Linked DNA regions of Stegostoma tigrinum. The protein of the gene in region 2 interacts with the protein of the main gene of each other region in a pairwise test. Links are inferred from orthologs where the notes say so. Each region holds a gene or a part of one and is shown on either strand. Other genes may lie near its edges.

Region 1 (7,743 bases), on a different chromosome or scaffold from region 2:
ATACAGTCTTTTTTCCGCAGGGACGGGGAATCGGAAACTAGAAGGGCATAAGTTTAAAGTGAGAGGGGAAAGATTTTAAGGGGTATCTGATGGGCAACTTCTCCAGACAGAGAGTGGTGAGTATATGGATTGTGCTGCCAGGGAAAGCAGTTGAGGCAGGTACAATAGCAACATTTAGAAAACATTTGGATAGTACATGGATAGGAAGGGTTTAGAGGGATATGGACCAAATGTGGCCAATTGGAACTAGCTGAATGGGCACCATGGTCAGCATGGACCAGTTTGGGTTGAAGGGCCTCTTTCTATGATTCTATGACTGAGTCCCTTTGTGCTTCAGATTTCTGAAGCCTTTCCCCATTTAGAAAATGGTCTCAGCCTCTACTCTTCCTACCAAATTTCCTACCAAAGCTTTCCCACATTGTATTCCATCTGCTACTTCTTTTCTCACTCTTCTAGCCTGTCCAAGTCATTCTGCAGCCTCCCCACTTCCTCAGCATCACCTGAGTGTTCTGTCTTCCTCACTTTTTGAATAATAGAATTGCATTTGCTATCACAGGAGAGCTGGGGCCTCAGCTTCTTGCAATTTATATCAATGTTTTAGAATTTGCTGGGAGTCCATTGAGTCCATACTGTGCTTATTAAAATTATTGAATGATGCTAAATAATGATAGAAAACAAAACAGGACAAACAATGCAAACTAAGGACAGAAAAAAACAACCATCAGGGCAATTACAAGAGAACAAGGAAAAACAGCAGAAATTGACAACATTGTAAGAAATGCCTTTTTAGAATTAAAATTGTGCCCCTTATCTAAGAAAAGATGTCCTTGCATTGGAGACAGCCCAGAGAAGGTTCACGTGGCTGATGCGAGGTACAGTGTAACCGTCTTATAAAGAGAGGTTGAATAGATTGGGCCTGTACTCATTGTCATTTAGAAAAGCGAGAGACAACGTTATTGAACCATGCAAGTTTCTTACGGGCTTTACAGTGTCAATGCAGAAAGATCAGACAGTTTAGGACCAGAGGGTCTAATCTCAGAATAAAGGCTCGTACATTTAAGACAAAGATGAGGAGGAATTTCCTGTTTTGGAGGGCTGTGAAGATGTGGAATTGTTTACCACAGAGGGCTTTTGAGACAGGGTCATTAAGTATATTTAAGACTGATTTTTCATCAGCAAAGGGAATCAAGGGTTGTGAAGAAAAGGCAGGAAGGTGGAGTTGAGGATTATCAGATTAGCCATGATCTCATTGAATTGCGGAACAGACTCGATGGGCTGAATGTCCTACTATTGCTGGTCTAGGGCACTGCTGAAGCTGGTTCTGTAAAGAAAAAAAGTGATTAATTGTTTCTCTTAGGGCTATATTTAGTGACTTGGATAAGCATATGGATAATGATGGGAGAATGTAGGGGGAGGGGCTTAGATTAGTTCACAGGTCGGCGCAACATTGAGGGCCGAAGGGCCTGTTCTGCACTGTATTGTTCTATGTTCTATGACTCTTAGAAACATATTAAACAGCCCAATAAAGATGCTGTCACAATAATGTCACTGGACTTAGATTCATTTATTTGTCACATGTACTAAATACAGGAACACATAAAGTACAGCAAAAAGTGCACAAAGATACCACTCACTAGTGCTCACTTGGTTACAAAAACTTAGCATTAACTAACCAGAAGCTTCTCTGAAGTCAGAGTCAGTTGGATAATCAACACCCCATGATGGGACTGGAATTCCAACTATTGTGTTATAAAGTGCCACAGAGACTGATTGTTCCTGGGAAGAATATCATCCTCAATAAAATTAGAAGGTAGCCCTATTCTGTAGCAGACGTGTTTATGTGGAATGCAACTGTTTGTCTCAAAATAACTGGTTACACCCCTCTTCACTCTGCACCCCTCCACCAACATGCCCTCCCCCCTGGAAGCTTGATCACATGGTTCCTTCAGTTCTGAACCTTTTAATTCTGCTGTATGTATTTATTTACAGATATATTCAATGATATCGAAACACATAATTCCAGGCGACAAAGGAGAAGACTCTGCCATGTAAAAAGCAGTTAATAACGTGCTTTTTGTATAAAAGCAAAATACTACAGCATCTGGCAAACAAATTTGAAAAGCACAGAAATTGCTGGAGAAACCAAATAGGTCTGGCAGGTTCTGTGGAGAAAAAAAGACGTTAATGCTTCGGGTCAGGAATAACTCGTCAGAACCTGTATGTTGTGTGCTCTCAAAGTAATCATCCTTCTTTTGTTAAAGCAGTTAAATCAAAATTAAATTACAGCAATATTAGGCAGCATGGTGGCTCAGTGGTCAGTACTGCTGCCTCATAATGCTAGGGACCTGGGTTCAATTTCACCCACATGTGAAATTTTCACATTCTCCCTGTCCCTGTGTGGTAAGATGCTGCTTGTCCTGCTGTGTTCATCCAGCTTCACACTTTGTTATCTTGGATTCTCCAGCATCTGCAGTTCCCATTATCTCTGTTTTTTTTTCCAGGTGCTCTGGTTTCCTCCCACAGTCCAAAGGTTTGCAAGTTATGTGAACAGGCCATGGGAAATTGCCCACAGTGTCCAAGAATTGGCGTGGATTAAGCATGGGAAAGGCAGGGGATAAGACAGTTGGGATGGGTCTGGATGGGACGCTCTTCAGAGGGGTGGTGTGGACTTGATGGACTTTAATGGCTTGCTACCACACTGCAGGGATTCTATGAATATTCTTGAGTTGAGTTTATAAGGAATTTTTAAGGGGAACAAATTATCTCTGACTTCTGAACAGCTCGTCAGCCAATCGATCACCATTCATCCTCATTTCATGCTGCGACTTCTGGCCTCAACCATTTGGTTTCTATTTTCAAAATCAAAGACACTGATGAACTGGTATCACTCGGTTTGTTAGAGATAATGGGGACTGCAGATGCTGGAGATTCCAAGATAATAAAATGTGAGGCTGGATGAACACAGCAGGCCAAGCAGCATCTCAGGAGCACAAAAGCTGACGTTTCGGGCCTAGACCCTTCATCAGAGAGGGGGATGGGGGGAGGGAACTGGAATAAATAGGGAGAGAGGGGGAGGCGGACCGAAGATGGAGAGTAAAGAAGATAGGTGGAGAGAGTGTAGGTGGGGAGGTAGGGAGGGGATAGGTCAGTCCAGGGAAGACGGACAGGTCAAGGAGGTGGGATGAGGTTAGTAGGTAGCGGGGGGTGCGGCTTGGGGTGGGAGGAAGGGATGGGTGAGAGGAAGAACCGGTTAGGGAGGCAGAGACAGTTTGGACTGGTTTTGGGATGCAGTGGGTGGGGGGGAAGAGCTGGGCTGGTTGTGTGGTGCAGTGGGGGGAGGGGACGAACTGGGCTGGTTGAGGGATGCAGTAGGGGAAGGGGAGATTTTGAAACGGGTGAAGTCCACATTGATACCATATGGCTGCAGGGTTCCCAGGCGGAATATGAGTTGCTGTTCCTGCAACCTTCGGGTGGCATCATTGTGGCAGTGCAGGAGGCCCATGATGGACATGTCATCAAGAGAATGGGAGGGGGAGTGGAAATGGTTTGCGACTGGGAGGTGCAGTTGCCAAGGAGGCTTGGGGACCGCTTTGCAGAACACCTCCGCTCAGTTCGCAAAAAACAACTGCACCTCCCAGTCGCAAACCATTTCCACTCCCCCTCCCATTCTCTTGATGACATGTCCATCATGGGCCTCCTGCACTGCCACAATGATGCCACCCGAAGGTTGCAGGAACAGCAACTCATATTCCGCCTGGGAACCCTGCAGCCATATGGTATCAATGTGGACTTCACCAGTTTCAAAATCTCCCCTTCCCCCACTGCATCCCTAAACCAGCCCAGTTCGTCCCCTCCCCCCACTGCACCACACAACCAGCCCAGCTCTTCCCCCCCACCCACTGCATCCCAAAACCAGTCCAACCGGTCTCTGCCTCCCTAACCGGTTCTTCCTCTCACCCATCCCTTCCTCCCACACCAAGCCGCACCCCCAGCTACCTACTAACCTCATCCCACCTCCTTGACCTGTCCGTCTTCCCTGGACTGACCTATCCCCTCCCTACCTCCCCACCTACACTCTCTCCACCTATCTTCTTTTCTCTCCATCTTCGGTCCGCCTCCCCCTCTCTCCCTATTTATTCCAGTTCCCTCCCCCCATCCCCCTCTCTGATGAAGGGTCTAGGCCCGAAACGTCAGCTTTTGTGCTCCTGAGATGCTGCTTGGCCTGCTGTGTTCATCCAGCCTCACATTTTATCACTCGGTTTGTTTGCACTTTTTACGAACTGAACAATTGCCTTATCCTTTTCAATTTAATCCTTGTGCAGCCATGTCAGCATGTATCTGTTGTAAAGTATTGCCCACCGTACACCTGACAATGTGTGAAATAAACACTATTTCTGGTTAAATTTACACCTTAACTTTATAAAGTCCACCAAAAAAGCAGTGAGAAAACGTGTTCTCACAAAATCAGAAATCAGTCTGACACACATCCCGCCACCCAGACACTTTAATTCCAGACTCCTTTAAGAACATGGGGGTACCTGGCCCTTTAAGAACATGGGGGTACCTGGCCCTTTAAGAACATGGGGGTACCTGGCCCTTTAAATGTCTGTTGATCAAATGTTCCGCTACCTGTTTCCGGTGTTGACGTGTTTCCGCCCCGTTGCCGGGGTGATGCTGCCGTCGGCAGTATCCCGGGGCCTGAGCTGCGGCCGAAGGGTCAGGATTCGCGGCGCCTGGGCCGCGGCCCCCGCCCCCGCCCCGGCCAACGCCCACGCCCGAACGGAGAGCCGCGGCCGCCCCGGAAATGGGAACCTGAGCGCGGCGGCAGTGGGTAAGAGGGGTGGAACCGGTCGGTCACCCGGCCCTGGGCGGAGCCTGCACTGACCCCGCCTCCCCCCGACGTCCTCAGTCCCGACCTGATTCCCCTCTCTGTGGGCTCCCGTGGCCCGGGCCGCAGGGTCCATGCAGTGCTCTGACCCTCACCGTGATCCCCACCCCTCCCCGTGACCTTGCCCCACCCCTCTCCCCGTGACCTTGCCCCACCCCTCTCCCCGTGACCTTGCCCCACCCCTCTCCCCGTGACCTTGCCCCACCCCCTCTCCCCGTGACCTTGCCCCACCCCTCCCCGTGACCTTCCCCTCCCCACCCACCCTGTGACCTTCCCCTCTTTCCCCCCCCCGTGACCTTCCCCTCTTCCCCCCCCGTGACCTTCCCCTCTTCCCCCCCCCGTGACCTTCCCCTCTTCCCCCCCCCGTGACCTTCCCCTCTTCCCCCCCCCGTGACCTTCCCCTCTTTCCCCCCCGCGTGACCTTCCTCTCTTCTTCTCCCCCCCCTCCTCCACCTACCCCGTTCTCCTCTTCCCCGTGACCCCCACCCACCCGTCCCACACCCACCTGACCTTCCCCTATCACCCCCCCCGTCCCACACCCACCTGATCTTCCCCTATCACCCCCCCCCGTCCCACACCCACCCGACCTTCCCCTATCACCCCCCCCGTCCCACACCCACCTGATCTTCCCCTATCACCCCCCCCCCGTCCCACACCCACCTGATCTTCCCCTATCACCCCCCCCCGTCCCACACCCACCCGACCTTCCCCTATCACCCCCCCCGTCCCACACCCACCTGATCTTCCCCTATCACCCCCCCCCCGTCCCACACCCACCCGACCTTCCCCTATCACCCCCCCCCACGGACTATGGGGAGTCTTTCCTGAGAGGTTTGAAGTTGCTCTCTCAGTGGGGGGCAGCCTCTCGGGAGACGGGGCTGTTGTCCTGGCATCGATGGGACATGGAGCTTGTCAGGCGGTGTGCCCTGCCTCTTGGGGTAGGGCAGTGAACAGTGATCTCCAGCTGATCTCACTCCACCCAGTGTTGTGATCCTGTCCTCATGGATGTTGGTTCCCTAGTTACAGGATCAAGAGATAGGTTTTTCATGTTCTGTGGACATATGTCGCCCTCCCTCCCTGCAGTGTTCACCCCTGTTCCTCCCCCTACCCTGGTGATTGCCCCATTATAGTCAGCATGCCAATCCACTTACTTCACTCTGGACTCTCTCATAATTGTGATCACCAACCAGCCTCCTTTTCTTTCACTTTCTCTAAAGTGCTGTTTTCTGATTTCCTTCTCTCCAGCGTTTCTTGCTGCCATCCAGTTGTTCTCGCACCATGAGAAGGAGCAACAGGACCCTGAGGATGCGATCATCCTACTGATCAAAAAGTCCAAGGTTCAGAATGGTTTGCTTCTCACTCTCCCTTTATGCCAGCTCAAACATTGTCATCTCATCAGTCAGCAGTAGGTCCTCTGGCTGTCCATTCTGGCCCAAATGACGTCCACCCTTACCAGGAGGAATAAACTTGTGGTGTCAGCACGGATCAAGTATAATAAAGCTGCCAATGTAACACCTTAATTTGAAAACAGAAGCAACCAAAATGCTTGGTAACTGTAAGCCAGTTACCTTAACATCACTTGTTGGGGAAAGTGCTAGCGTCTTTTATAAAGGATGTAATAGCAGAGCATTTAGAAATATAATCAAGCAATAGTAAGATGGCTTCATCAATGGGAAACATGCCTGATAAGTTCTCTAGAATTCTTTTGAGGTAATAATGAAGAGGATTAGATAAGGGGAAAAGTGTGAATGTGATGTGTTAGGATTTTCAGAAGGTGTTTGAGAAGGTACCACACATAATGCTATTTAATAAGAGAAGGAGGCACTATATTAGCCTGGATAGAGAATTGGCTAAAACATCAGTTTGTATAACGGAGGGTATTTTCAGATGATAACCTATAACTAGTTGAGTGCCATAGGGATCAATACTGTTCTTGCAATTATTTGCAATATATCACAGAATTGTTATGGTGCAGATTGATGCCATTGGGCGCGACAGTTCCTCAAATGAACATTGTCATGTGTGACCGATCTCCTACGTCCTTGCTCCGCCACACTCTTGCATGTTATTGTATCCAAGTAATCAGTGAATGCTGCCTCGACCATGTTTCCAGGCTGCACGTTCCAGACCCTAATTGTTCACTAGGTGGAAAAGAATGAACTCTCATCACATTTGCTGCTTTTGCGAGACTTCTAATTTACGCCATCTCATTTTCCTTCCTTTTGCAAGTGGAAGGAACTTCTCACTATCCACTTCTATCTACCCTTTTCATGATTTGTACTGTAGTCCAATTTGTGGACAGCACAAAGATAGGTGGAAAGGCTCGTAGTGAGGGTGACACAAAGACTTTGCAGAGGCATATAGGCAGGTTAAGCAAGTGGGCAAAAACTTTAAATGGAATATTATGTGGTGGACATGTGAGGAAGAATAGAGGAGGCAAATATTATTTAAATAGAGAAAGCCTGCAGAAAGCTACAGCATAGAGTTTGTGATTTCTCATGCACGGATCTCAAATTGCCAGTATCCAAGTTCAGCAGGTAATAGGGAAGACAAATGCAATCTTCGCTTTCCTTTTACAAAGGGAATGAGTCATTTTGCTAAAACTATACAAGGCCTATACAAGTCAGACTGTAGTTGAATACTTGAAGCAGTTCTGAGCCCCTTATCCAATAAAAGGCACACTGGCATTGGAGACAGTTTAGAGAAGGTTCAGTAGTTTGATCCTGGATAAGGAGGGATACTCTTGTGAGATAGTTTGAGTAGGTTGAGCCTGTACTCTGAAGTTTAGAAGAATAAGCAGGGACCTACTGGAACATGCAAGGTTCATGGGTTAATGCAGAGGTTGTTTCCCCTGG
Region 2 (8,093 bases):
GTGGGGATCGGGTTGGGCAGGAAAATAGTGTTGACAATTATCAGATCAGCTCTGATCTCATTGAATGGTGGAGCAGACTTGATTTTTTAAATGACCTTCTTGTGCTCCTACAATTTGCGGTCTGTCACTGTGTGTCAGTAGTGGAGGACATTGAGTCATAGAGTCATACAGTACGTAAGCAGACCCTTTGGTCCAATCACTCCATGCAGAACATAATCCCAAACTAATTTAGTCCCATCTACCTGCTCTTGGCCCATATCCCTCCAAACTTTTCCTATGTATCTATCCAAATCCAAATATCTTTTGGTGATTGTACCCACATCCACCACTTCCTCATGAAATTCATCCCAAATGCAAAACACCCTCTGTGTAAAAAAAATCCTTGTATGTCTTTTATAAATCTCCTTCCTCTCACCCTAAAAATGTGTCCCCAGTCTTGAAATTCCCTGTCTCAGGGAAGAGACAACTACCATCAACTTTATCTATATCTCTCATTATTTTATAAACTTCTATCAGGTCATCTCTCAACCTCCTAGGCTCCAGTGAAAAAAGTCCCAGCCTATCCAGCCTTTCTTTATAACTCAAATCTTCCATACCTGACAACATTCTGGGAAATCTCCTCTAAACCCTCTCCAGCTTGATAATATCCTTCCTATAATTGGGAGACCAGAACTTGACACAGTATTCCAGAAGAGGCCTCACCAATGCCCTGCACAACCACAACATAACATACCAACTCCTATACTCAAACAACTGAGCAATGAAGGCAAGCATGCCAAATGCCTTCTTAACCATCCTATCTATATGCGACACAAACTTTAAAGAATTATGTACCTGTACCCCTAGGTCTCTCTGTTCTACGACACTACCCAAGGCCCTATCATTAATTATACAAGCCCAACCCTTGTTTGTTGCACCAAATTACAATAACTCACACTTGTCCAGATTGAACTACAACTGCTGTTTTTCAGCCCATTCACCCATTTGATCAAGATCCCTTCACAATCTTACAAAACCTTCTTCACTGTCTACAATGCCAACAATTTTGGTGTCATCCGCAAATGTACTGACCATGCCTTCTAAATTCTCATCCAAATCATTTACATAAATGACAAACAAATGACGACCCAGGGCCAATCCCTGTAGAACACCATTGGTCACAGACCACCAGTCTGAAGAGCAACCCTCCACTATTACTCTCTCTCTCCTGCCATTAAATCAATTACCTATCCAATTGGCAAGTTCACCCTGAATCCCATGTGACCAAACTTTACTAATTGGTCCACCATGCAAAACTTTGTCAAATGTTCTACTAAAATCCAAACAAACAATGTCTACTGCTCTGCCATCATCAATATTTTTGGTAACTCCCCAAATAACACAATCAAAGTTTGTGAGACACAATTTTCCTCACACAAAACATTTTGAATATCCCTAGTCATGCAGGTCATGCAGCACAGAAACAGGCACTTCAGTCCAATTCATCTATGCCAAGCAATTTTCCCAAACTAAACTTGGCAGATAGAATTTATGTGACAAACTGTAATGTGAGAAAATGTAATATTATGCATTTTGGCAGGATGAATAGAGGAGCTAAATATTATTATTGTGGGGAAAGACTGCACAAAGCTGCTGCACAAAGGGATTTGAGGGTGTCCTCTTATATAAATCAGAAAAAGCAAGCATCCCACTTGCCAGCATTTGGCCCATATCTCTCTCAACATTTCCTATTCATGTAGCTGTCTAAATATCTTTTAACTGTTGTCACTGTACCTGCATCTACCACTTCTTCTGGCAGTTCATTCCACATACTAACGGCCCTCTGTGTGAAAAGGTTGCCCCTCAGGTCCCTTTTAAATCTTTAAATCCCTTTTAAATCAGTTCTGAGGAGGGGTCAGTGGACCTGAAACATTAACTTTGCTTTCTCCTTCATGGGTGTTGCCAGACCTGCTGAGCTTTTCCAGGAACCTTGTTTTCGTTGCTGATTTATAGCATCTGCAGTTCTTTCCATTTTTATTCCCTTTTAAATCTTTCTCCTCTTACTTTAAAAATATGTACCCTAGTTTTGAACTTCCCCATCCTAGGGAAAAGACCTTTACTATTCACCTTATCTATGCCCCTCTTCATTTTATAAACATCTATATGGTCATCCCTCAAGCTCCTATGCTCCAGGGAAAGAAGTCCCAGCCTAACCATATAACTCAAACCCTCCTAACGACATTCTTGTAAATCTTTTCTGAACAGTCTCCAATTTAATAATATCCTTCTTATATCAGATCAGAACTGTGCACAGTTGTTGAAAAGTGGCCTACATAACGTTCTGTAGAACCTCAACATGACATCCGAACTCCTACACTCAATGGTCTGAGCAATGAAGTCAAGCGTACTAAATGCCTTCTTAACTACCCTGTTTACCTGTGACACTGCTTTCAAAGAACTATGTACCTGAATCTTTAGGTGTCTCTGTTTGACAGTGCTACCCAGGGCCCTACCATTAACTGTATAAGTGCTGCTCTTGATAGAGGGAATTGAATCAAGCAAGCTGCTTTGTCCTGAATGGTGTTAAGCTTCCCGTTGTTGGAGCTGGTTTCACTCAGGATGCTTAATTAGCTCACATAGTAAGTGACAAGGGAAATGGTAGCAGGTGGAAGTAGGCACTGGGCTGGCGTATGAATTTTATAGACATTGGGATGCATGGGGACATTTGGTTTCATGAGTTGGTAACGGTGAGGTTTGGAAAATGTGTGGGGATGAGCATGAGAGCAAGTGCAAAGCGTAGAAGTCAGAGAGATTAATATTTTTTTCCCTTTTGGAGAGGTAAGGTGCCCTTTGGGATAGAAAATGATATGCTTATGAATTAAAAAGTGCATTAACACATTAGGTTTGCAAAACTTTCAAGAAAATATCCAAACAATGTAAAATTATGAAAATGTATCCACTATTTCAAAATGCATCCCACATAAAGCCATTTTAAATTTATGCTGCTTACTGATTGCCTAAAGTATCATCGACACAATGTGGTGCCTTTTGTTGGGCAGCTCCAACTATTTATTTGATTGAAATGTTTGTTGACGTAAAGGATTAAATGCCTAAATCAGAGTTTTTAAAAATGTTTATTTACGTTGGTTATTAAATTCTCAAGCAACACGCTTATTTACACAAGTCATTGAAACACAAGTGAAGTATTTGTTAACATATATAATTTAGTTAAACAGTGTATTGGATTTTTTTAATCAATAGAAGTGGTTTTGGTTTCAACAGTGACATCATCCATATACAAGTAATTTTATTTTCCCTCCTGATGAATGACCATGCTGCATAACAGGTGAGTTGACATGAGAGGTGGGTGTAAAATAATTGGTATAAAAGGTATAAGGACCACAACAGCTGTTGGAGTAAAAGACATATATGGAGGCATGGAATTAGGTAGATGGGCTCATTTGGCATAGAGGGTAAGTGGGACATCAGTGATGGGTAATTGGACATAAATTGGCAAGGGGCTATGGTGGGGTCATACACAAGCAAACAGGGGCATGGGGAATGAGGGCTGTTTTTGTTTTAAAGTTTATTCTTAAACTTTAGACATAGTGCCAGAATCACTAGGCAGGCTTTCTGCCCAGAATGCCTCAGGAACCAGGCAGCTTCCTGAACTCCTCTGGGTCACCTGACCCACCTCTCAATCCAGCCCAGCCTGCTAGAACAAAAATTGAAAGTGCAGATGGCCATTTTTAAAGGACAGGCTCATGGAACTGGCATTTCTCCTAACTCTGCATACCTGACCTGGGAATGAAAATCAGGACCCAAGCACTTAATCATCTGTTCTCAGTCTCCTAATGTGACTGAATATCTATTTCTGCTTTGTAGTGCTCCTCTGAAGCACGTCTGTTGTTTTAGTTCATGAAGTTGCTAGATAAATGCAAGTTGATGCATTATTGATGAACTCACTGACAATAAAATTCTCTGACCTTTTGCTGTGGCACTGGTGATTTTATCTGGATTCTGCTCAAATGGAATCAATGTTTTTAAACACTTGTTGGCCTCGAGCGTGATGTTCATGGCCAGTCAGAGAAACAAATAGAGCCGTGATAATCTTCCCGTCTTGCAGCGAGGAGCGTTGGGTTCAGACCCGAGTCCAATCAGAATGACAACTGGAAACTGAAGCACCAGCTCTGAAACCTGGTAGATTTCCTTACAGGAGTCCTTGCCTCTGATACGTGTGGGTGAACCCCTGCTTTAATTCAAGCCCACTTTTTAGAAAGTACTCAAGCATTAAAGCCATGAAACAACCAATAGTTAATCACTTTAACTGCTATTCCCTCTTAAGCGGTTCAAGAGTCTCTTTAAGTTGAGTTAGGCCAGGACCTATGTAAGAACATAAAGGATGAACTGCCTGAAGTAAGTCGTCTAGTGTCAGCCTTGCAAGTGACACTCAGTCTCTGAACTGATGAAAAATGGATTGAGGGTGATAAAAGCTTCATTTATTGAAGAAAATTTTTAAAAACCTTTACTTATACTTCATTGTGAGAAAACATCTGACTGATTATTAAGAAAATACACCTTAGAGTGAACAATTGAACCTCAGTTTGTACTTCCTAACTAAATTTTCAGTGATTTCAGCCAAAATTCCAGCATTATCTGCCAAAATTACTTCACTGTTCAGCAATACCAGTTATTGCAACTGAATGAGTGTTGTTTTCATTTCCCCCTTTCTATTTGTACCTTAAAAGAGGTACGAATATTTGCAAATAAAACGTCACAAAACAGGGGGAAATGAAAGGAAACAGAGCACTTTGAATAAAATGTAGTTCACTCAGTTGGCCAAAACGAAAATCAGTCTTTGCAGTCAATAGTAACTTAGATCAACACAGACGCGCACGGACAAATATGAGTCAGAGGGATCGTTGCCTCCAAATAACTAAGCCTACAAATGCAAGTTCCTTTCTTCGGAAATACATTACATCCTGAGGATGAACAGCGTCCAGGTTTTGAATTAGTGCACGCATTTTAATTACAATGTACTTAATAGGCTGATCAAGTTGGATGTCAAAATGAGACAGCAATAATATGCAAATAAGAAATAAACGCGATTGAACGGCAGACGTTTACAAGAAAGCCCACAGAAGGTGGGTGAGTGCCTCAGTGTCTAGTTTTTTTTCCTCTCTTGCTCTGCAGTTCCTTGCGAGCAGCTGTCCCGCGCGCGTGCGCACTGGCGACCTGGAAATTTGCTACTCGTGACAGAATTTGGGTAAGAAACGGTGTAATTTTTAATTTTAAAAAGAAAATAAACCAGGAGCAAAAGCTGTCAGACAACGAATGGTGTATTTAGGTGGCCCCTCCCGCCGTCTGGGAATTTAACTTCCTCCCTCCTCCCCTCAATCTCCTTTTTTTTAAACCCCTCTCCACTCCCTGGCGTTTATCCTAATTGCATTTGGTGCAACTTAAATAAAAGTAGTTGCAGAGAAGCGAGTGGCCGGGGACTGTATGAGTGTGTGTCTGCAGAGCAGCACAAGTCCCCTTTAGCAATTAGAAATAAATTATTACAAACGGGGAGAAAAAATAGAGAAGGGGGGAGAAAAACTAATTTAAATAGAGAGTGAACCAGTGTTTGAGCAGTGCCGGTGAATGATGAGTATTGATAGTTGGCGATTATAATAATTATTTCAAACACTGAACTCTCCTGTGACACAGACCATTTTATGGAACCCGGGCAAAGTGCGAGGCTTCCATTGGAATGGGAGCGAGCCGCCGCTCGATACAATGTTTCCGCGCCGCGCTCTCATTACCCCCCTTTTTTTGTTTTCTTACTAAAAGAGAAAGGGATGCAATAAATTCACGTTTTAAAATGCAACGTGTCTCCTTTTTAGGCCTTTACAGGAATATAGACTCCGCCATTTTGAGAAACTGCCCAAATAAAATACAAGAAGTGTTTGAGGAAGAGAAATCTCAGGGTGGATTCTGCAAAAGAGAGAGAGAATGTGAGGGGGGTTTGGAAAGAAAGAGGGGGGAAAATAGATATGGATAGAGCCCAGGCTTGGGGAGAAACTACCGAGTTTATTTCAGGAAGTGCACGCAATTGTGATGCACATTTAAATTATTAAATCCTCCAGTAGGTTAAGTTTTTTTTCTAATTGTTAATCGAGCACCTAGGCTGATTGACAGTGTAAGGATTAGCTACACAATTTATAATCTAAAACTCACTTGATATCCACGAATTTAAATTTCTGTCAAATGAACCTCGGACTTGATAAGAGGAAAGTCTGACGACGTTATATATAAAATTTCAGTTTCATTTATTTATCTCCAGGGTTGTTTCAAGTAACGTTAATTCATATTCATTTTATCGGTAAATTGGGTGCGAATGTTGTTAATAACGACAGTAAATATGTAACTGAAATGCATTTTCTTTTGTGTTCATTATTTCAAACTACTGTGCATAGTTGAGTGCATTCTGGAAACTTTCAAGTACAAAACATCTTTTTTTAAAAGATAATGCAGAGCGACCTCAAATGGTTTTTGTCTAGAGGTGCAGGGAAGGATAGTATATTTGGCTGTCAGGACGAGGTGATTGTGTTTGAAGGTAAACGTGGGAAGTTAATTGTTCACATTTAAAGGCACTGTTTGCCCGCGTTTTGTTTTTATCCTTCAATTAGAGTAATTTTATTTATTGCTGAAACAGTCAGAAAGCATCTTTTAATCGGGACAGCCCAGTCCGCTGTGCATTCTTTCGAGTTAAGTGTTCTGATTGATACAAGCATGAGCTAAGTGCATTTGCCACTGATTCACATGCCGCCTGGGAAACTGTTCTAGGCTGTCTTTCAGGATTGGAGAAATACTGTTGGAATATTTACTTGCTGTTGATTGACTGACTTAGTTAAAATGATTTATTTAATACGAAGTAAGTTTCAAACTATATTCTTCCACCAAAACTATCACACTTCATGAACATTGGAGGAATTTGAACAAAAAACACAGTCCTTTTTCTGATTATCTGCTGGTGTTCTTCATCGTATGATCAGTGAGGAATGAGTCCACTAGTTTTTTTTAATTGTTTTGTCTTGGTACTACAATTAAGTCAGATCACATTGAAAATACACATGTTCTGCTGGAGTTGAAGTCCATCTTATTGCTTATTTTTGTCTCATGATATTCCAAAATACAGATTTTTTTATGATAACTGTGACTAACAAGGAAATGAGTGAGCATTACTGTCTTACATCAGATGAAATTGACAGTTAGTTACAACTATAAGGTATTCACTCATCCAAATTTGTTGCATTATCCAGCATTTATTCATTGCCTATCTGCTCTATATGTGGCTTAGCAAACCATTTGCTAGAGTGAACAATTGATCAACTGACGTTCTCCTTTGTTTTCGATTTAGCTTTGGCTTTGTCCCAGATGCTGCGCTGAGTTTGATGAGTTACTTAAGTGAATAATAGTTTATGGAGAAAGGAAGTTGCTATCAGCAAATTGGTTTCTCAGAGGAATATTGGTTTGCTTATTTATGCACAAGGTTCTTCTATCAAACTTGGGCCTTTCAGTGGCTCAATGTACTGGTTTCTCTTTCAAAATCTTTGAGAAGACAATTTGTTTTTCAGTCTTACTTTTTGAAGCAGCTGACTGCCTGTTTTGAGTACACTTTTATGGATACTTATCACTCTTTGCTATTACCTGTACCCATTCTTTGTTCATATTTTACATTGAGAAAGCTGGCAAGCTTTTTGGCTGCATGGAGAATCACAGCAACTCACACTGCCGTCACTTCACAATCATTACTTGAGGGTATTGACAAACAATTTCAGCTGACATCAATTGTCTGATTGGAATTTGTCATGTCATACTTGACTGAAGGATCAGACAACCATAAGTGTAAGGAACAGGAACAGGAGTTCAGCCCCTTAAACCTGCTTTACCATTCAATAGAATTGTGGTTGATCTGAAATTCCTTACGTCCACTTTCCTGTCCTTTCTCCATAAACCTGATTCCCCTACTGAACGACAATCTGTCTATTTCAGATACAAGGACTCTGTCCCTGCACATCTGTGGCAAACAGGTTTTGAATCAGATTTAAAAAGAGACAAAATAATGATGT
Region 3 (7,276 bases), on a different chromosome or scaffold from region 2:
CTGTACTTTGCCTTCTGGTTACTCCTACCAAAGTGCATCACCTCACACTTGATGAGATCCTGCACTCTACAAATGAATGACTACACTTGGTGCTCCAAATCACTGTTCCATTACTGCCAGATAATTGAACTTTCTGTTTTGTAAATCCCCATTTTTTTCCCTTCCTTTCTGAAAGCAGTTTCCTGGTTGCAGGATGGTTCCATCATTACTAAGCGTGCATTTCTTCATCCATGAATCTAAATATTCACAGCCATTATTGCAAATGTGTCTAAAACTGAGACGGTTGTTAACTTCTTATCAATGGATGGCAATGTAGAAATCACTAACTCTAAAACTAGAGAGACTGGCTCAATTTCATTATGCCTCTTTCACCTGTGGGCTATGAACCAACGCTCCATAACCACCTGGAGTTAAATGACCTCAACTCGCATCTGTTGAAGATTGAACCTTGGAGTTCAATGATCTTCATTTTGTTCGACAGTGGGACTCTCCCTCTGGCCAAGCAAAATGAAGATCATAAATAGAAAGAAAAAAGCTCACAGTGTTAACAAATTGAGTTACTTTGGAACTAAGGGGGCTATTCTCATTATTGAAGGGTAATTAAATATATTTATTTGTCTTGTTTCAGTTTGCAGTTTAACAAGATCGGAGATGAAGGTGCAATGTATATGGCACAAGCAATGAAAAAAAATTGCAGCTTGGTTGAGTTAAGGTAATTGTTTAAATGTAAACTCACACCAGAACATTTTCTCCAATCCCAAACTCTCCCAGGTGTACTTATTTCCATTTGAGCTTTGAAGTTTGATTTCACAGACAGCTTATATTACCTGGTGGCTTGGCACTTGCCAGTCTGCTCATGTGCTGAATCTGGCTGATGTTTGCCCTGATCTTCAATTACATTGGGCAGAGAACATAGAACACTGCAGCGCAGTACAGACCTTTTGGCTCTCGATGTTGCGCCAACCTGTGAAACCAAACTGAAGCCCATGTAACATACACTATTCCATTATCATCCATATGTTTATCCAATGACCATTTAAATGCCCTTAAACTTGGAGAGTCTACTACTGTTGCAGGCAGGACATTCCATGCCCTTACTACTTTCTGAGTAAATAACCTGCCTCTGACATCTTTGCTATATCTATCACCCCTCAATTTAAAGCTATGTCCCCTCACGCTAGCCACGTCCGTCTGAGGAAAAAGGCTCTCACTGTCCATCGTATCTAATCCTAAAAGCAATGGGAGTCTTGCCCATGAGCTGGAAATCTATGGGAGCCCCGTGTCACCTCTCTTGTTAAATATTGATCAGACACTGTATTGGGCAGTGAGGGCCTTTCCCAGAATCAATGATCCGAAGGGAAGAAGTACCACCCAAGAAGAGCTGCTTACCCACCAGAAGCCAGCAGCACTTAATTGTTAAAAATGGCACTGGGGGACCAGAGGCTGTTGCTTAGGCACCCACCTGAAGCCTAGGATCAGCTAAGCACAGGCCAAGGGAGTCATGGGCTGGATGGGAGGAGGGTTGGCAACTTAAATGGAACCCTGAGTCCTGATGCTGGGTTGCTTGAGCGAACACACACACACACACACACACACACACAAACACACACACAAACACACACACACACACACACACACACACACACACACACACACACACACACACACACACACCACTCCGCCCCACTCTGCGCAATGAGACTGGGTGAATACCAATCGTGGTGCTATGAGAGGCTTAAGTAGTATTCATTTCCTAATTCAAAGCGCCAGTTAGTGGTGGGTCAGCAAATTTCTCCATGTGCTTTTCCACTGTAGAATTAACTGGGCTGGAGGCAAATCATTGTTTATTTTTAAGAGAATAGCTCCTTTAAAAGTGCTCTGCTATTTCCTTTTTCTTGTATGTCATCTATGATTTGTACCTTTTTATATTTAAGGATTTCAATTTATATGTTACTGTACTTTCTGGGTGGCTGATTAATGGAATGGATAATATTTGTTTGTAGACTCGGAGACAATGATATCACTGAAAAAGGGAGTGATTATTTTAGAAGTGCTTTAGAAGTCAATGACACACTTGAAGAATTATGGTAAGAATTTTGTTTTATTGTTCATGAATTAAAATTGTTGTTTATTTAGAATTTTTTTTAGTTGATCACCACCATAGAAGAATGAAATTTTCTTCGAAGCTTGCATTTTAAAGCTGCTTAACCAGACTTGATGATGAATCAATGGTGGATAGTATTGAAACCAGTATAAATGAAAATGCAAAAGAAATACTGATAGTTTAGGCTAATAGGCAAAATTGTAGCTAATCGATTTCAGCATAGTCAAATATAAAAGGATGAAACAGAGCACTTTCCGACCTGTGAAAAGCTAAAGACTTTGGTCATCTGAAGAGACCTGGTGAAATGGGGTCCATGCACACAGAATATTAAGACTATTATGACTAAAAGGGTTAAATGAATGCTGGTCCTTATATCTGCTGGGACAGGATGCAAGTGGGTATAAGACAGCTATACAAATCCTGGCTAGGCTACACCTGCAGCACTGTGAACAGTTCTGAGCCGCACACGCTTGGGATATAAAGTATTGGCCTTGGAGATAATGCAGTGTAGCTTTACGGGAATAATTCCTTGACTCCAAAAGTAAAATTCTGATGAGATTACATAAACTGGTGTTGTATTCCCTGGAATTTGGAATATTTAAGGGTGATTTGGTTGAAGTTTTCAAGATATTAAGAACAGATAAGATCGATTGGGAGAGACTGTCTAGTTATGTTGTATTCATCGAGAACCATTGTAAAAGAAAACCAGGTAAACATTTTTTTAAGAATGGAAGTAGGAAACACTTCTTCATGCAAAGAGTGGTAGATGTTTCAAACTCTCTTTCACAAAAAGTAATTGACACTGGATTAGTTGTTAATTTCAAAACTGAGTGATCAATTTTCATTAGCCAAAGACATCAAAGAATATGGAATACAGTTAGGTCACAGATCAGTGAGAAGTTCTGTGAATGATGGTATTGCTGCAGTGGACTAAATGTTTTACTTTTTCTGCTTTTCGGCGTGTCTATGCTGTGATCCCACTGGAAAAGGAGGCAGAAATAACAGCCTGATTTTAAAATTTGACGTTTGTTTTAGTAACAATGAAATTCACATCATTATAGGAAGAAATTAAAGTTTCTTATTTAAAATGCTACTGAATTTAAAGAGAAGTGTAAGATGCTAATAGGCATGTTTATTTTGTTTAAACTGGCAAATAACTTAATATTTACAATCAGTTCTATTTAAAAATAAATAAAAGTTAATTTCAGTCACCACTGTGTCAAAGAAAATCAGACTACAGTAACCCAGTGTTCAACATAACTGCTCATGTTGGATATTGCAGTGATTGTAATGAAGTCAGCCAGGCAGTTATCATCAAATATGAGTTCCCTGGTTGATCCTGTTAATCCGGTACAATCAGGGAGCCCTGGTTTACAAATCCCTGTAAGAGCTGGCTCTGAGGGAGCTGGATCAGTGTCAAAGACTCTCCATGTGTAAGTAAAGGGTAACTTGGAGACAGGACACCAGCCTCTATGGTTAGTTCAGGTTTCAACAAGAGGACACATTTATCCTTTAATTTCAGAATCATCTCAAAACATGCAGTATTTAATCATTAAACTGACATATTTACATAATTTCCCATGACTACTTTTTGCAGTGAGTCAGAAGAAATTATGTATCACTTAGTGTTTGTTGTAACAATTTGAAAGATGTTATAGTTGTCACCTGGAATGGGAGTAGTTAAACAAATGCATGTTCTGGGCACATTTAAAGCACAGTTTTCTCTGGCTGCACTTAAGCCAGAAAGGAAATTCAGTGTGCATCATTTTATACATGAGATTTCCACCTTGACTTTCCTTTCTGTATTGCATCCAAACAAGTACAAGTGTAAAATAAAAAAAAGAGGCACGTCATTCCTCCCTGTGGATGAAGAAAGAACTGCAGGATAAAACAGCTTTTACAAAACGGTCAGAAATAGTAAAAACTGCTGATGCTGCAGTCAAAGATAACACAATGTGCAGCTGGAGGAATACAGCAGGCCAGGTAGCCCATTTCTGAAGAGGGGTCTGGGTCCAAAATGTCAACTTGCCTACTCCTTTTTTACAAAATGGTCTTTCATTCCAATGTCCTGGTGTTTGACTCTTTTATTCACTGAAGAACTGAAGCTTTTTGAGCCTTACCCTTAGAATCCTTTGATGTCTTTCTCGTTTAGGATTCTGGTGAATAGCATATCAAATGATGAAAAGGAAAGACTGAAAAGTGCCAATTGCAAAAACCCAAATATTCGACTGAATTAATTTCAGAAAATTAAGCACATGGGTATGTATCTTGTACAAGTGTACAGCTAAAGATGGAAGTTCCTTCTATTTGTTTATGTTATGAGTACAAAATGTTTGGTGAGCATATCAGCCGTGAAAAATTTAATTCTTCTATTTGTGTTCTTGTCAGGATTGTAAAAGCAACATGAAGGGGAATTTTATTAGATCTTTAGACATAGGATTGGATGCAAAGGATTGACACTTGGCAGGTCAATTTCAGTGCCTCTCACCCTTTCTAGGGGCACCTTGAGTGTGCTGATGGTAACCTAGCAAGTAGTAGAGGGAGCCAATTGACGCCATTAAGTAATTAGCAAAGATTTTCCAAGGGCAATGGAATCTTTCAGTCGCACATGGAATCCTGCCTTGTGCTTGCCAGTTGTTCACAGGGACTGCTGGCTACCATTCCAGTCTTATGATTAAATTCACCTTCCCCCCTGCCACCCTGACAACAATCCCGGGGCACCCTCTTAATTGAATATCTCTAGAAAGATATTCTAGATATCGCCAGCAGTCCCTGCTGGTAAGAAACATAAGTTTGGTTGTTATTGTATAGATTCCAGACCGGTGTACTTTAAGACATTATGTGACATTATAACATGTGACATTCCAAAATAAATGTATCCACTTCACCTCTAACATAGTGCAATGAAGTCAATGTACTGTGTTCAGTCAGTCAGCTATGTGTATGTAAGATATATAACATAATTAAGCACAAAACCCAGATTGTGTTTAAGTGTGTGATATGCTAACAATTTAAATAGTTAATGTCCTTGATAAACTTCAAGATACCTATCTTATCTAGACTCTCTCTTTTTAAAATAGGACGATCACAAATGGTCCAATTTTTAACAATGGGTCTTCATAGCTGCAGTACTAAAATAATATTCAGCAAAATACAAACAAACAGGGAAAAGCAACAGTTTTCTACGCTAATAAGGTCATACCTGTGCCCAGACATCAGTTGATTCCACCATTTTGCTTTTGGGATACAAAGCAAAAACTAAAATAGGACTGCATGATGTCACAGCTCTCTCTTTTTGGAAATGCCATCTAAAGGCACAAGCCTGCTGTTTGGAAAGCAACAACGAGAAAAAAAGAAACCAATGACAGACAAAAAATGCCCTATATTGCAATTTGAATTCTTATACCGTCAGTTTTAAAGAACATCGTAAAGATGGATTATCACTCCATTGCCAATTTATTAGAATTTCGGTTATTTGAAGAAAGAATCAATCTTTACTTTCTGGACTAACAAATAATTGATAAAGAATAATAGACAGTCAAACTTTTTATTGCTTTCTGTAGCGCACAAATATCCCCTAAATACTGAATTCAGAGCCATTTTGTGCTCTGAGGCCATCTCCAGTTGTGGATTGAGACTATTGGATGCAAACTGGATAGATTTGAGTCTGTTTCTTGCGTGACAATAACCTAATTTCCTATGCTTAGAGATCCTTGGAAGAGCGCAGTGACTTCCAAGTGTCATAGGCGCCCTCTGTAACCAGGCAAATGCCTTGAATGCTTAAAATTAAGGTCCCAGTGCTAGTTTTGAACCCTGATGCAAAATGGTTGTCAGCAACACACTGTCTGCATAATCAACTGTTCTGGATCTTTAATGTCTAATTTAGGGCTGCTCAATGGATTAGGAACTATCCACAAAAACAGGGGAAGATTATTTTCTTTCTGGATTGAAACTAGGTGAAGCAGCAATTGTCCTGTTCCCAGAGAAATTCTCTATGTTGGTGCTGCTTCAGATTCAGTACTTCTTTCTCTGCCTTGTCTCAACAAATCAGCTCCCCAACTGCTAGGGCCAGCCTAATTAAAATTTTGAACTCTCCAACCCATAAGCTGCATGAGCTACCCAACTACTGTCTGCAGCTTGTTGCTGATGCCCCAGGGACAATTTTGATCAATTCTCATTTCTTCATCTATTTCAAATAAAAACTGACATTGAGCAATTTAGCCTTATAGCCAGCAGAGATAGAAGTCTTGTTCAGATTGTGTTTCAGCTTAGCCAAAAATGGCATGAACTGCGAAATATTGCATGCATACTTGTACAATATATTTCAAGGTATATCAAAGGTGTGCAAACATTTGAGGCAAAAATACAATTCAATTACTAGATGTGACTCTTGTGTTTTTGCAAATAAGACTTGGAGTGTAAAAGAAAGATCATTCTCTGACACTGATTCTGGACAGAGCCTATGATTAGCTGGGTAGCCTAAAAGGTATATATAGTCACACACTGATGCAGCCTGGCTGTGCTATATGAATGCATGCCAGAAGCTTTGTGTGTAGACTCTGTTCAGGTCACTGTGGTGGGTCAACAAAACACATGTTATTCTATTCTGTATTGATAGGCAATGTTCATTGTTGTAAAGTAAAAATAATTGTTCTAAAATACAAACAGAAAGTACCGGAAACTCTCTGTTGGCCTGGCAACATCAGTGAATGCAGCAACAGAATTAACATTTTGGGTCCGATCTAACACGTCACAGGAAAAGTGCACTCAGACTCAAAAAGTTACCCCTGTTTCTCACTCCATACTTGCTGCCAATCCAGCTTAGTGTCTGCAGTGCTTTGTGTTTTTGTTTCAAATTTCCATCATTCTCAATATCTTGCTTTTGTTTTAGTGATATTTGTTCCCTCCATTGCTGAAACTTTTAATTTCTTGCCTTAAATCATGCTTAGGAGCTATGTGGCAAAAGAAAAGTATATTTCATTAGGACACCAAATTCAGCATTTTTCTGGAATGAACAGGGCTAATAATGAACTCTGCTCAGCTGTTCCAGGATCAGCAATGTTATACAATGTGATATATTCCTGACTGTCTCCAGTGGAAAATAGATGGATACCAGAAATCAACATCGACAAGCTGAAGAACTTTGATGACACTGAGCACTTTCCATGATGT

The links.
Region 1: the proteins of l3mbtl3 (region 2) and ttc19 interact in binary tests that used the Homo sapiens proteins (3 or more experiments, as listed by UniProt). The two-hybrid records come from large-scale screens. The link is inferred for Stegostoma tigrinum from reciprocal best matches to the Homo sapiens genes L3MBTL3 and TTC19.
Region 3: the proteins of l3mbtl3 (region 2) and plekhf1 interact in binary tests that used the Homo sapiens proteins (3 or more experiments, as listed by UniProt). The two-hybrid records come from large-scale screens. The link is inferred for Stegostoma tigrinum from reciprocal best matches to the Homo sapiens genes L3MBTL3 and PLEKHF1.

The regions. Positions count from the first base shown.
Region 1 is NC_081358.1:127,544,208-127,551,950, reverse strand, and holds the start of ttc19 (tetratricopeptide repeat protein 19, mitochondrial), read left to right. Parts: upstream 1-4,637; 5' UTR 4,638-4,671; coding exon 4,672-4,831; intron 4,832-5,658; exon of another isoform or gene 5,659-5,783; coding exon of another isoform or gene 5,784-5,826; intron 5,827-6,133; coding exon 6,134-6,225; intron 6,226-7,743. UniProt on the Homo sapiens protein: Required for the preservation of the structural and functional integrity of mitochondrial respiratory complex III by allowing the physiological turnover of the Rieske protein UQCRFS1.
Region 2 is NC_081357.1:70,028,742-70,036,834, forward strand, and holds the start of l3mbtl3 (lethal(3)malignant brain tumor-like protein 3), read left to right. Parts: upstream 1-5,035; 5' UTR 5,036-5,245; intron 5,246-8,093. UniProt on the Homo sapiens protein: Is a negative regulator of Notch target genes expression, required for RBPJ-mediated transcriptional repression. It recruits KDM1A to Notch-responsive elements and promotes KDM1A-mediated H3K4me demethylation.
Region 3 is NC_081369.1:32,514,657-32,521,932, forward strand, and holds the start of plekhf1 (pleckstrin homology domain-containing family F member 1), read left to right. Parts: upstream 1-4,267; 5' UTR 4,268-4,359; coding exon 4,360-4,363; intron 4,364-7,276. UniProt on the Homo sapiens protein: May induce apoptosis through the lysosomal-mitochondrial pathway. Translocates to the lysosome initiating the permeabilization of lysosomal membrane (LMP) and resulting in the release of CTSD and CTSL to the cytoplasm.